Linked DNA regions of Oryzias latipes. The protein of the gene in region 1 interacts with the protein of each later gene in a pairwise test. Links are inferred from orthologs where the notes say so. Each region holds a gene or a part of one and is shown in the gene's direction. Other genes may lie near its edges.

What was found.
Region 2: the proteins of putative transcription factor p65 homolog (region 1) and nucleophosmin interact in a two-hybrid assay, tested with the Homo sapiens proteins (2 studies listed by BioGRID and IntAct). The link is inferred for Oryzias latipes from reciprocal best matches to the Homo sapiens genes RELA and NPM1.
Region 3: the proteins of putative transcription factor p65 homolog (region 1) and nfkbie interact in binary tests that used the Homo sapiens proteins (3 or more experiments, as listed by UniProt). The link is inferred for Oryzias latipes from reciprocal best matches to the Homo sapiens genes RELA and NFKBIE.

The regions. Positions count from the first base shown.
Region 1 is NC_019876.2:27,220,886-27,225,444, forward strand, and holds part of putative transcription factor p65 homolog, read left to right. Parts: intron 1-1,134; coding exon 1,135-1,269; intron 1,270-2,307; coding exon 2,308-2,412; intron 2,413-4,242; coding exon 4,243-4,458; intron 4,459-4,536; coding exon 4,537-4,559. UniProt on the Homo sapiens protein: NF-kappa-B is a pleiotropic transcription factor present in almost all cell types and is the endpoint of a series of signal transduction events that are initiated by a vast array of stimuli related to many biological processes such as inflammation, immunity, differentiation, cell growth, tumorigenesis and apoptosis.
Region 2 is NC_019872.2:18,721,793-18,726,939, forward strand, and holds the start of nucleophosmin, read left to right. Parts: upstream 1-1,669; 5' UTR 1,670-1,784; coding exon 1,785-1,833; intron 1,834-2,798; coding exon 2,799-2,878; intron 2,879-3,930; coding exon 3,931-4,050; intron 4,051-4,287; coding exon 4,288-4,381; intron 4,382-4,468; coding exon 4,469-4,578; intron 4,579-4,653; coding exon 4,654-4,712; intron 4,713-5,147. UniProt on the Homo sapiens protein: Involved in diverse cellular processes such as ribosome biogenesis, centrosome duplication, protein chaperoning, histone assembly, cell proliferation, and regulation of tumor suppressors p53/TP53 and ARF.
Region 3 is NC_019882.2:5,906,833-5,911,939, reverse strand, and holds the start of nfkbie (NF-kappa-B inhibitor epsilon), read left to right. Parts: upstream 1-1,629; 5' UTR 1,630-2,103; coding exon 2,104-2,423; intron 2,424-4,287; coding exon 4,288-4,390; intron 4,391-5,107. UniProt on the Homo sapiens protein: Sequesters NF-kappa-B transcription factor complexes in the cytoplasm, thereby inhibiting their activity. Sequestered complexes include NFKB1-RELA (p50-p65) and NFKB1-REL (p50-c-Rel) complexes.

The DNA.
Region 1 (4,559 bases):
GAGCTCGCCCTTTCTCTATCTCGCCACTTGCATTTAAGATCTCTTTCTTTCGGTCATAATGGGGAAAATACAAAAATCAATATAAAATTAGAGGAACCTTTTGTTATTGTCTCCTTACCAAAAAACAAACAAAACGTAAAGTTCAGGAGAAGAACGGTCAGGTTCTCCTCCATGTTGGTTTGAACTCCACCTGCTGAACACGTCATCAGCACAACACGGGCCAAAGCCGAGTCCCTGAGTGGCTGAATTGAAAGCCAAAGTTTAGATATTTGAATTCTGGCTGCAGCCCCTAAAATGTGTCATTATGCCCAAAGAAACGGGCGGCGGGATCTCTGACCGCGTTTGTCCGTTGGAACGTTGGAACTGGATGCCACTGACGCACGGTATGCAGTATGAACTCGGCTTTAGTGTTACAAGGTGTTTTTTTTTCATGAAGGGTTCTTGTTTGTTTCAATTCAAAGATGAGTTTTCTTGATAAAAATAAGGCGTTTTTTTGTGTGTGGTCTTTTTTTAGAGCTGCTGTCACTGCCAAAGCACTGAAACTATTCTATTCTGATTCACAAGTTCCCCATTTGGTTTTCTATTTCACCCAAATTTTCCCATGCAGTCGTCCCTCGTTTATCGACGTAGTCATTCTAAAAATAACCCGTGATACGTGAGGGTGCAGTTACTTTAAGTCACTTTCTTTCTGCAGAAGATGAACGTAATCTTTAGTGAAAACTGGACGTCTCATTTACATGAGGGGCTTTTAAAGTGAAAAAATGACAGCTGACAATGTTTTTGGTTAAATAAGGGCATCAAAGCCTGAAGTCTTTTGGAAATCAGAATGCAGTGTTTGGTACCAGATTCGCAGTGGGTGTAAATGAGAAGGACGGCTGCTGTGAAGCCTCTGTGGCTCCTTATCTCCACAGCGCTGCGTGCCTTCATTGTGGTTTGTTTCTGCACAGCCCTGCATGTCATCCAGTTGGTGTCTTGCTGTCATATTTTTATGCCCCGGCTTTGAAACAAGATGACTTTTCTTTTCCATCTCCAAACCTTGTAGAAGTGAAAGCAGCCCTTTCTGTTTCATATTGCTGTCAGGTCACGAACACACATCGGCGCTGCCTGACTTCCTTTCTGTGGTTTCCCTTACAGTTCCTGAGTCCAAGGTGTGGGAGGAGGAGTTTGACCTGAATTCGGTGCGGCTTTGCTTCCAGGCCAAGATCACGCTCCCCACAGGGGAGCTGTACCCTCTGGAGCCGGTCGTGTCACAGCCCATCTACGACAACAGTGAGTGGAAAACCAGTCTGCCCGCTTTGGAGCCGCAGTTTTTCCTGGGAAGACGTTCAGCAAAGCTCAGACATTTTAGCAAACCTCCGTCAGGAAGCAGAGGAAGAGAGGCCGGGTGGGCTCCACTCATGGGAAGCTTGATTGCTTGGGTAAACACTGTAAAGTCTTGCGATCTAATGATACTGTACTGGGTGCGTCATAAACAGCTTGAAACCGTCTGCGTCCACAGACGCTCTTTGTTCCTCTTTGGAGGAAAGATTTTTCTTATTTGCCTGAAATGATTTACAAGAATCATTCCTCAATAATTCTATATTATAGATATTATATAACAGTAAACTTTAACTAAACAGACTAAAATAAACTGGGCATCCCTGCCCTTAGACCCTTTAAAGACGCACTCTGATGAAAATTGGATTTTTGGTGTTTTTTACACGCTCTTGTGGTGTTTTTCTGACAAAAATTTAGCTTAAATTTGCATTTGTGGGTATTTCTGTTTTCCGAATCATTGTGAATCAAGAGCAGATGAAAAATGTAATTTGAAAAAGATCACATCTGCGAGCGTATCTGCATCCACTGTCAGACCAATAGAGGCGTGAACGTCTTCGTTTTTCTCGTCTGAGCTGGAATCTGGCTCCAAACTGTACGGCTGGATAGCTCCAATATTGCTCGCCATTTTTGTTGCACCGCTAATGCTAGGTTAAGCTAGCAGGTGAGAGTGTAAACAGATGGATCACGGGAAGTGAGGTCGTGCTTACTCCACAGCAACGGTTCTGCCCACAACTCAGAGGGGAATCTCTAATTAACTCCTACCGCTCTGCAGAAACTTTGTCCAAAAAACAGATGCTTTATTTTGTCTACAAACGGCAAACTCATAATTAGAGGACCACTGGGAACACTTTGAAAATAAATCAAAAGATGATTTGACCACCTTTGAAGAATTGACATTAATTTGCAAAACTCAAATTCTTCCCAAATGGACAACTTTAGACAATTCTTTATTTGAAAGTATCCGTCTTTCAATACTTTTGCTTCTTGCAGGGGCGCCAAACACAGCCGAGTTAAAGATCTGCAGAATCAACCGGAACTCTGGAACCTGCAAAGGAGGCGATGAAATCTTTCTGCTGTGTGACAAAGTGCAAAAAGGTGAGGCTTCCACCAAACAGACGTTACTGCAGATGCGTGAGGGGGCTCTGCAGCAGACGGGGTCGACAGACCATGTCCGCTGGCTCCTACTACAAAAGAATCTTTCAAAATAAAGTACCAAATGATCACATCAAGGTCTGTTTGTTTTTCCCAGTGACATGAGGGCTCTCATAACTTAGCATCAAACTTTTCTGATGCTGTGTTCCTCCGTGTCTTAACCCTTTGATGCCTGAATTTGTTACCAGCTGTGAAAACATTGGCTTAAGTTTTTGCTTTCGATGCTAAATTAAGGCAAGACTGGAGCAGAAGTGGTTTGATGCATATTTGCATTTTTAGGCGTCGAGGGGTTAAATGTGAAAGCGTGCAGATATAGACTAGTAAAACAGAAACTACATCCTTCTGCATTCTGGGAACACTCAACACAACCTCCTCCACGAACCTCCTCCTTGGTCTTCCTCTCTTTCCTGGTAGCTCCAACCTCAGCATCTTTTCGCCGACATCATCACTGTTCCTCCTCTCAACCTGTCCAAACCCTCTCCATCTGCTTCTCTGCATTGATCTCCACAACCAGGATCTGTTCCTCTGATGGTCATTCCAGATCCACCCGGACCACTCCAAAAGAGAACCTCAGCATCTTCATCTCTGCTGCCTCCAGCTCTGCCTCAGAGCCCCTTAACCAGATATCACCAAATGGCGGACCGCGGTCCACATCCGGACCAACAGACTCTTCTCTCCGGTGTAGATACAATAACTGTTCGGCCTACAACTACCGTTCGGGGTCCTTCCAGTCACACTACGGTGGCCCCACTTGGACAAACTATGTAGCATGGAGATCTGCTCGGGCTCTACATATTTTCATTTCACGTTTCTTTTTGCAACGTAAAGTTATTTTCCTTCATAAGTTCTGTCCTACATTATTGTTTGTAGTGTTTATAGAGAGATTTAGCCACAACCCACTTTGTAAGAAGATCTGTGGCTGTTAGAATGAACCTGCTGCTCCACAGAGTGAACCGTGTCTCTGATCAGAGCAGCCAGAGTCTTGTAGCTTCGTGTTCATAGGCGGGGAAGGTGCTTTGTTAGAGTGTTCGGTCCGGAGAAGGGTTCAGAACGCAGGCCGTTTGGCTACAAATGGACTTAATAATAATCAGAACAATAATAAAAGCACGTTTACAAGATAACCCCGCTCTGTGTCGGAGCTCTGTTTGCTTACTCTGGACTTCATAATGTCTTTTTCTATGGTAGTGTCATAATTTGTCCAGACCAATCACTATCTAAAACGTCATCGGACCAACGGACAGCCAATCACATAATGTGACCTCAGCACTACTCGAAGGACCCCTGACGGTTGTTGTAGGCCGAACGGTTATGGTACCTACACCGGCGGTCCACATCTGGACCCTCCTTGGCTCCATGATCACTTTAGCTGCAGATGACCCTCCCGATCTCCCATAGTATGTGTCACCTCCTCCCTAAAAGCCAAACAGCACTTTTCCTTTCTCAACTTCCACCTCTTGGTCCTCTGCCCTTGTTTTCTTTATCTTCCTCGCACCTCACAGCTTTGCAGGTACTGATGTCGTTCACGTTTCGTCAGCACAGGAATCTGTCGCCTTAAAGCCGTTGGTGCATCAGCACAGTTGGATCTTTGAAAATTCGCCTTTTCACGTGTGAGGAAAGCATTCAGGCGGCTTTTCAGACTGCTGCCCTACGGAAGCTGGTTTACCAGCGAAACTCCAGAGACGGCGGTGTCTTTCTGTGACCAGCTGGGATTTGTCAAAGCACCGCACACTCCTCAATTCTTTGGTGTTCTCCCATGTTCCCGTCTCCCTGCAGAGGACATCGAGGTGCGTTTCTTCCAGGACTCCTGGGAGGGGAAGGGCACCTTCTCCCAGGCGGACGTGCACAGGCAGGTGGCGATCGTCTTCCGCACGCCGCCCTACCGTGACACCAACCTTGTTGAGCCAGTTAAGGTGAAGATGCAGCTTCGGCGGCCGTCTGACCGTGAAGTGAGCGAGCCTGTGGACTTCCAGTACCTACCAGCTGACCCAGGTAAGATGCACACATCTCTACCTTCCTAGGACATGTCATGCATTCATCCTCATGTGAAATCTTTCACTCTTCCTAAAGATGAATACCGGCTGAATGAGAAG
Region 2 (5,147 bases), on another chromosome or scaffold:
CTACTCTTCGGCTCAGAGACTCGGTTCTCCCGGGAGACATGGTCAGATTGAGGTCTGAAGCGTCCTCCGGAGCGTTGTTCATTACAAAGCACCCTTCCCACGAAGACTCCTGCTGCACTGATCAGACATGCTTGGCTCGCACAGAGCATGTAGCCACACCGAGTGAGCACTGACGTCATCGCCCCGCCTCCCCCCTGGAAATGCTCACTGGTATTGACTTGTACTACTTGCGACATCTGTGGCATTGTGCTGTGTGATACAACTTAAGATTTCAGAGTGGCCTTTTCTTGTGGCCAGTGACACTCTAAGGCACACCTGTGCAATAATCATGCTGTCTAATCAGATATGGCACACCTGTGAGGTGGGATGGATTGTCTTGGCAAAGGAGAAGTGCTCACTATCACAGATTCAGACAGATTTGTGAACAAAATTTCAGAGAACTGGTTATTTTGGGTATGTGGAAAATGTTTCACATCTTTTAGTTCATACTAGAGCCCTGCGCGGGACTATTTTCTTCATCCCGCTCCCGCCCGCGCCCGCTGAATTTTTGACCAATCCCGCCCGCTCCCGCAACGTATGCGTTACACTCCCGCCCGCTCCCGCAATATGTATGTCCACTCCCGCCCGCACCCGCAAAACTCATAGAATTTAGTCCCGCACAGTAATAGAGATGCATTGATTTTGTATCGTCTCCCGTCCCGCAGGAACAAAACACGTATTTGTATTGATATTATTACTAAAGAGATTCATGACCTCCTCCAGACTCATCTTTTGATGCATTCCTCTTTTGTGTAATGTGCAACTTAATTATTAAATATATTTTCACAAATCCTGTTCGGTTAAAAGTGTGCGTGTGTGCGCGCGCAGACAGACGGCCTGAAGCGCGCTCTTAGTAAGAGGCGGGGCGGGGCGCACCCCCAACAACAGGTTAGATGACAGAAGCCATTGGGCGTCTCTACCTGGTGCCTTCACGGAGCTTCAGTACATAAGAATCAAACAGCCGCACAGCCTAACGTAGTCCGCTAATATATATTCATGAGATATTCATGGCAGCACTGATCCCGCGGGGTTTATTTTTTGCCGCCCGCTCCCGCCCGCAGCACAATTCAAACCGCCCAATCCCGCGAGATTTGGGTTGGGTCCCGCGGGACCCGGCGGGACCCGATCCCAATGCAGCCCTCTAGTTCATACCATAAAAAATGGGAGCAATAACAAATGTGTTGCGTTCATATTTTTGGTCAGTGTAATTATGCTCCAGAAAAACTTATATGGAACTTCCGTTCAGAAAGTGAGGTTGAACTTTTGTCACAATTTAAATTCGAATCTCATGTAAAACCTTTTTATTAATGTTTTTTTAATCAAAAATATTAACATTCCATGACTTTTCCAAAACTTTCCAGAAGATTTCGTTTTTCACAAACTGTTCAAGAACTTAAAACATTGCATTTTCAATTTCCAAAACTTTTCTAGGTTTTTCATGACCGTATGAACCCTGTATCAAACGCCTCACAAAATCTGGGAAGAAAATGAAGCTTTCGTCAGTAATAACGTCTGAATAATCAATAAAATCAGAAACTAGCTTTAGATTGTTTTAAATGCATCTGTCTTTCAATATGAATTTCTAACACCCCCTAAGCACTAACTTCCGCCGAGCTGTAGGAGGCGCTCTCACCCACTGGATCACTTCCGTTTCAGCAGAGTAGAAGAACAGCCCCATCAGTCCTTCCATCCACGATCAGTGATTGTTCCCGTGCAGATCAGCGGCGGTCGTGTCAGTCAGCAAAATGAACGGTTTGGACGAAGAATCGTTGGCACCACAGACATTTTTATATGGTAAGAGAAGTTGGTAGGTTTGCTTTTCTTCTTCGTGCACGTTGGACACACGTGTGTGTATAGCTCGTGCGAGGAGGTGGAGCGGCCGCTGAGGCGCGCGCGGTCCATTTTTGAATAAAATTGAATGTGTAACGTTAAAGAAAGGGACATAAAATGTGTAGTCTGTTTTTATTTTATGACTTATGTGTTTTATTGACTGGATCATGACTGGAAATACGGCGTCAGACTTATTACGCACATGCTCCTTGAATATATCAACATGGCGGTCGCCGTGCTTTTTTTCTCCCCAAATGAAAACTACGTTTCTGACAAATACAGCTCATATTAATATTGCTTTTTAATTTACCCTAGCATAAGATATTCGTTGTGAAAAAATAAATAGATAAAAAGCTTTAAATTAAATTGCAAGACCATGAACTAATTTCTAGAAAATTCGACAACGTGGTTTCCAGCGTGCCGTTAGGCCCCTCCCCCTTTAAAGCTGACCTAATTAATTCCCTTTAGAAATATACTTACGTTTATATTTATTCACATTTGTTTATAATACAATTGCATATATTTTCTTTTGTTCTTCATTTCGTGATGTTATACGTTTTAGTCCTTTTATTGTAATCTGTTTCGTTTGCCACGTGGTGCAGAGAAAAAAAAGATTCTTTTTCTTTCATAAAGATTTATTTTAGATGGTGAAACAGTTGTTTAGAAATGAAGTCAAAATAGTTTTTATCTTCCAGTAAGTCATTACAAATTTGAAATTTACTCCTGCCAACACTTAAAAAAAACTATTTAGAGTCTCTAGAGTTTGTTTTTATTTTAAATAAATTATATCCAAGATAAAATATGGGAACTTTAAAACTGTTAAGCGGAAATCAAATACTTTTTTCTCCCACGTGGTGCATCGTTTAGAGCGCCCTCTAGTGTTGAGTTTGATATTTTCTCTCATTTTAAAACCGTTTTTTGTCTTTTAGGATGCACATTGGAGGCTGGGAAGGAAGTGCTCTTCAGTCCTGAAGATGATGAGCTGGAGCATCAGTTAGATCTCAAACTGGTAATTATAATGAAATGAAGACTACAGTTCTGTGATATTCTTGCGTTTGAGCTCTCATGTCGAATAAATTTTTAGGCACATCAATGGAAATATTTTGGATTTTAGCTTGAAGTCCTGTTTGTGGGTTTAAATGAGCGGATTTTTATCATTTTAAACTGCGTTTAAATTTCAGGCTTTATTTAATGAATTTAAATGTATTGAATTATAATGCATTAAAAGTCCCACTTGATCTTTTGTCAAAGTGTTCCCAGTGGCTTTTAAGCATGATAATGCCAATTTATGCCAAAAAAAAGTATTAAAAAGTGGTCTTGTAGGACATAGTTTCTGCAGGCCGCCAGGAAAAATGTGCCTCCGCCCCCTAACTTCATGTTTGAGCAGCCTAACTCAGTAAAACTATGTAAATGTTTTTCGCGCTTCTACTGGAATCTAGGCAGTCAGGGGCTCGGAGTAGCTGGTTTACCAAATGAACCCAGACACTAGGACAGGCCTGATGGTGCCTGCGTTTGTCTTTCAAATAACGAAACACTCTCCTAGCATGGTGGTTATCAGTTTCAATCATTGCAAGGGTGTTGGCAACGAACCAAAATGTTATCGTTTTGTGCCCAAATTGTGAGATTTGCACCGTTTTGACATTTGGCACCAAGCCTCTTCCAGCTATAGGTTTGGACGTGTTGGTGGTCTCTCCTTGCTTGTCCACAATGGGCTATGTGAATCTAGCTCAACATTAGCAGTGCAATAAAATGGTGAGCAATGTTGAAGCTATTCAGCCGTTCAGTTTGCAACAAATCAGCTCAGACGAGGAAGACGTGGATCTAGTAGTCAACAAGTCGACGCAGGATGGACCGGAGCAGGGAACGTTTGGCACGTTCATTGTAGCACCAGCGCCACAAATAGAATTACATTTCTTTCATCTGCTCCTCATTCGTGACTTAAAATAGACTCAAAAATTCAGGTTTAAGCTCAGTTTTCTTTAAATATGTCCTTCATTGTGAGAAGAATGCTACAAGAATGTTTAAAACGTAGCTCAGACCTTGTCTTGTTTGCCCCTTCAGGCTTGTGTTGACCCCAGCACCAAAGACGAGCTTAACATGGTGGAGGTGGAAGGACAGAACGCAGAGGGGCAGAAAATCAAGGCAGCTCTGGTGTCACTCAAACCCTCCACCCTTCCAAGTGTAAGTACACACAGTTCTCCTTCACTCACCTGAAAGGATATTTTACAGTTAGCCTTTGTATGGAGGACTGTACTGACAGATCTCAAATTTCGGAATAATTTTTTTTTTCTGAAGAAAAGATCTGTGACGTTGATGTGTTGTAGGTTAAGTTCCTGAAGCCCATTCTGTTTGTTTCGGCGCATTTAAATATGGATCTTTAAAGCCAGCTTGTGTGACCTTGCATGCTTGATTTCGTAGGTGTGTCTCGGCGGGTTCACGATCACACCCCCAGCAGTGTTCCGTCTGAAGGCGGGTTCCGGTCCGATCCATCTGAGCGGACAGCACCTCGTCAGTAAGTGTTTTTCTGAAGATGGTTCTTTTATCTGCCCTTCTGTGGGTCTGCATTCATCACACCATCTGCTGTCTAATCTGCTTTCAGTGATGGAGGCGGATCAATCCTTTGAAGAGGAAGACGACGAGGAGGAAGAGGAGGAGGAGGTGAAAACATCAAAGAAGAGGCCTGCTTCATCCCCTGCTGCCAAATCTCAGGTTTGACTTAAAAACTTTAACAAATGCCATAAAATGTGATGTGCTGGTTTTTACCTTCTTCTGATCTGCTGACAGAAAAAGATGAAAATGGACTTGGATGATGATGAAGATGAAGACGATGAGGATGATGATGAGTGAGTATTAACATTCTGACGGCAAATGTTTTCTTTTGTGTCTTGGTGTTGTCAGAAATCCAAATGGTGTTTGGGCCCAAAGTGGCGGGTCCTGGATCAGGTGTTTGTCTCTGAGGTCATTCCCAAAACTACATTCATATTTAGAAATTTGACTTTTTTCCTTTTAACATATCAGACTGTGGAGAATACTGCATGTGATCAACTTAAGCTGTTAATTCGGTGGAAATCCAATTCATGAATCCAGATCCACGATTATCAGATCAAACTACAATAAACATTTTACCGTTTGCACACGTCTATTTACTGGATGTAAGAACATTAAAGTATGCATTTAAAATCATGTAAACGGTACTTTTTTTATTTAAAACGGCAGATAAGAATCAATAAATGAGAAAAAAATAAATGATTTTTATCACTCTAAACGCCAAAGTTTTC
Region 3 (5,107 bases), on another chromosome or scaffold:
TGTCCATGGATTACATGAAATCTTTCCACCTTTATCCACCTTTGTCATGGTAGGGAGAACACGTCAATGCAAGGGTGGGGTCATCTAAGATAGCACAAGGGTTATAAACATTGTTTTTATGCATTTTCCCTAATATTGTATTTCATTATGTTACTGATATATTACGGATTATGCTTTTGATTAGAAAATAGAAGTTTTGGATTATTAGGCTTTACAAACACTCAAAAAATGTAACCCTTTTACAATCCTGTGAAACAGAAATTTAAACAAAAAAAAGGAATTGGTCATTCAGTGACGGTGTTAAAAGAAAGCACAAGTTGAGTAATAAGCTCTAAAAAAGATAAAGAAATGTTTAGCATGTATGAAATAACATTTTTCATTCTCGATTTGTGCCTCACTGTGTTTGTGTCTCCATAATCCTGCACAGAATGCATGTTTTTTTTTTTAATATAGTATCGATTGTTGACTTGAATAAAGTGGACTGAGAAAGCATAACAGCGTTAAAAGCAGTGGGTTAGGAGCAATATACACTTGGAAACACTAATTTTTCCACAATATGTCTTCTATATTTTATTTATCCTCTTGAGACCCGGGCTCATTCGGATTGCATTATTTTTAAAAAGTCAGGTATTGTGTTGCAGAAAGGCAAAAAAGATGTGCACACAGTTTAACGAGGTTAGTATTTATAGATTAATGCAACCTCTTAAAAGAAAAACATCAGCTTTGAAAGGCAAAACAAAAGATGCTTTTATTAAAATGTAAGAAAAAGTGTTACTACACATGAAAAAAGACACCAATATTTAAATCTCCTTACATTTACAGTCATTACCTACATACTAGCTTTTTTACATGGCAGTACTTATGAGTATATTATACGATTGTGCCAAATATGCACAAAAAAGTCTACTTTATATGAAACTACAAAGGATAACTGAAATGAATGATCCATGTTGAGGTGATGATCAACCCGCTCATTGCATAATTTGTATCATTTGTATCGTGTGAATACAAAACCTACATGGATCACATTTCTCAAGAACTCAAAAAACACTTTAGTCCCATAAAAATAAGTACCTTCTATGGAATTTTAGGAATACATATATGAGTGAAAATAAGATTATTCAGTTAATGCATTTTCTGAAACCTTGCAGATTTTTGTGTTTGTCCAAAGCGGCCAGCTAAATTGAACTTTCAGGTACAAAGACTTACTAAATGACCCATGTGTTTATTTTAAAGGTCTGTAAAAATAACTAAATATAGGACAAAGTTTTTGTGTCACATATGACGTGGAACTGCTTTTGACAAATAGAAAGAAAACACAAGAAAAAAACGTTAAAGGGCAACAATTTCGTTTCAGACATTTGGTTTTAGATTGTTTGAACTCAAACTCACTTTAAAGAAAATTGTGTTTTTGGTGTTTTATAACATGTTCTTGGCATTTTTCTGATGATGGAGGACATATATGAAAAAAATTAAGGTTTACTATCAAATCAATGAAAATGTATTTATGTATTACAAAAGTAAAATACATCTATTCTTTGACTTCCTGTCGCTGTATGAGAACTTTTATTATGAAACGGTGGCACATCCGCCGTGATGACGTCAGCCTGTTGACGTTCTTTTTTTGAACTTTATATGTACGCGCGTTTGTGGGCATGCGTGCGTATGTGTGTGATTTGTGCGCAGGGGGGATTCCCCCCTCAAAAGTTCTTCCCTTCTCGTCTTTCGTCGCTCGGTGCACTCTGCTTCGAGCTCGCGCCGTAACCGGATATCTCCCCGCTGGTGTTCGCTTGTTTTCGCGTCCTTTCCTCCGAGTGGATTAAGTTTCCCGAACTCCTCTTAAAAAAAAAAAAAGCCTCGGAAAGTTGACGAGTGTCCGTCGGGCCCGGTGTTACTGTTACGAGCTGAAGCGCGGTGGGTTTGTGTTATGAGACGTAGCGGCTCATTCCTCCGGCTTCACAAAAGAGCGGTGGTTTCCTCTCGCAGCTGCAGCAGTAGCGGGCTGCCCGGACACCGAGCTATCGGCGGCGGCACGCGCTAGTTAACTCCTCTGGTAAACGGCTGGAGGGGGGGGGAGCCCCGACAAGGCCAGCAGCTTTTGCCATGTCGCGCGTCGACCGTTGCAAAGATGACTCGCTGGAGGACACGCGCATAGACTCGGGCATCGACTCGTCGTACCGCGCCACGCTACACTCAGAGGAGCGCCGCGAGCCGAGCGTGGACTTCGGCGGCCCGAGGGACAAGTTTTCCACCGCGGATGAGCGCGTGGACTCGGCTTACGGATCCTCGTCCATGACCACGGACAGCCTGTCAGAGATGGTGCACGACTGGAGTCTTAGAGACGGCGAGGAGCAGCAGCCGCAAAGTCCTGATGAACTCTCAGAGGAGAACATTCTCACGTCCATCACGGAAGATGGAGACACGTAAGGCTTTTATTTTGTTAAATGTAAATATAAAAATAAAAAGCATCCTCCAATGACTTTGGAGGCTCCTTCACTTTACAGCTGTTATACCTTTTATTATAATCTGGATTATTTTAGGTGAATGCATCAAAGAAGTTTCACACAGATGTTTATGGAGATGCATACATTGAGGGGACTTGTCAGTCCGTTTTCCCATGAAATTCAGCACCAATAGAAGATTTTCTCTTCTTTTTCTATTATTATAAAAAAAACTCTGCTCCATATTATGAATGTGGATGGTCTGCTGTAAGGCGTTACTCAGTAAGAAAACAGAAGTGAAACAGATAGGCCTGGACTTCCCCTGCAGTTCAGACAAAGCACATGCTGTGAGGTAGCTGGATAGTTTGCTTTTCATCCAAGAAACTTGTTGATCAGGACAACTCAAGTCTGCATTTCCCTCGCCACCAAGTCAAACACAAGCCTGTGAATTTCCCAAAAAAAAAAAAAAAAACAGATCAAATGTCAGTGGATTTTTGCAGCTTCTTCCTTCTCCGTTTGACTAAATGATGCAGCTTTTTCTTTGTTTTTTTTCTTTTTCTTTTCTCTGTAAGGTCTGCCTCACCTTGTCCCGCCACGCCGTTCTGATAAAAAAAAAATTCGACTCTTGCAGCCAGAAACGGAGCATGGCAGAAGTTTTGCTGTGTGTCTGACCTCTTTTCATTTCCGTTGGTAGAACCACATGGTTTCATTCTCACACCAGAACTATAGATACCTGCTCAGAAAGAGGGGGAAAAAAAACACCTTCAACACATCACTCCAAACACTCATTCTCCCCCGTGGGAGTTTTCTTTTTTTCTTTCTCCCTTTCTTTTTTGGTCTTATTCATTTAAGGCCGTCTCAAACTCAAAGGAAGTTACTTGCATGCCAGAATATTTGCTTCCAGCCATGACTTTGGTTCATCTGAGCCTGCAGGCATTTAAATCCCTTCTCTCTGATGGAGCAGGTTTAATAAATAGTGTTTGTGCATTTCGACCACAAATACTTATTGGTTTGATCACATATTTTAATACTGATATATTTAAGGTGGCCAGGTCAGAAAATGTCAGGAATTACTTAGTTTAAAGGGGTTTTTTCTTTGAATTTAGATGAAATTAGTTAATGCATTTCACTGCAGCTATTCAGGAAAGCTTTTGATTCATTTTGGAAGAATATTTAAAAATGAGGATTTTTGTTGTGTTGTCTTCAGAAACATGAGACATTTGACATTTTAGCAGGTTAGATTAAAGGTTTTCATTGTGATTTTTGTGGGAACCGTTGGTAGCAGACGGATCACTTCTGGTTTCACTGTTTATTCATAAAAGCATGAGGGTTTTTTTGGGAGGGATTTGATTCAAACTTTTCAGGGTTTAACTGTAATGTCCAGCTGTTTGTGGGAAATTCATTCTCTGGAATGATAACATGATTTGGAGGTTTAATGTGAAGCAAAAACAAACTAACCTCAAAACCGTAGTGGGAACTTGTAACAATTAAATGTTTGCACGAAGCAGGAAATGAAGCTCAGGATCGGTGCTTAATTTAGACTGAGGAAGGAGGGGGAAAAAAACCTAAAAGGGCCCCATTTTTATCGTAACCTTTTATATCCGCTTTAGTTTTGTCATTTGCAGTAGCCCGACCGCCCAGGTTTACCAGTCAATCTCCTTTAGATGAGAACTTCTGATGCAAAAGTGGTTTTACCCCGTTCATTTTGTACTTCCTCAATGTAAAGTGGGTCTGCAGGTTTGTGCATACGTTCACACATCCCCTCTTAACACTTTTAAGTTAAAGCTGCGGGATTATGCAAACTGTGACAGTTGGGCTTTTTTTTTTTCTTCCATTCCTCATGCAGACTCTTGCACCTCGCAATCATCCATGAAGACACGCACATCGCTCAGGAGCTGATACAGCTCTTCCCCAAAGAAGTCCTGGACATCCAGAACAATTTATACCAGGTGAGCTCCGAGCTGGGAATTTTTCAGCCTGGAGGACTTCCTCATTACTGATGTCTTGGTTGTGTGAGCAGTGGCGTTTGCCCGTGTCTGTGCAGTTCCACAGAAGTGTTGTTCCTCTTTATTTGCAGTCCGTCCTCCCCGACGGCTGTCACTGTGGCTGGTTTTTGAGTTAGCTCACGAGGGACTGACACTGGAAACTCCCTCTTCTAGCTGGTGTAGAAAATAGAATGGCAGGGAGCTGCGACATGGTGGGGATGCGGGCACAGGAGTCGTTCCAGTCCTTCAAGAAGCTCGACGAAGGCTTCAGTTGAAGTGACGGACGGAGCTGTCATTTGGAAACATCTGAAGTGTGGAGTCAGCACTTTGTGCACTGACTCAGCTCTCGGTTGCCTCACATTTCCTTTCAGTCATTCTTAGATCTCTCCTTACTAAGAATTTTTCTTTTATTGCTTAAGAATCTTGTAAAGACTCAATGCTTCTCATCATGTGTCTTACGCAAAACTGATATTTAAAAAAAAATAAAAAAAGTAATTACGAAAGGAAAGTAGCAGAGGCGTCACGCTCTGCATCTGCAGCCCGGTCAGAGCAGCCGTTTGCTTCGATAGTTCAACTTTCAGTTTCTCCGATCTGTTTTTTTCCTTTTCACTCTCTCTTCTTGCTTGTGTCTGATTACACGTATGTTTTCGCTGCTTTGTTTGAACCCTGCTGGTGTTCTGC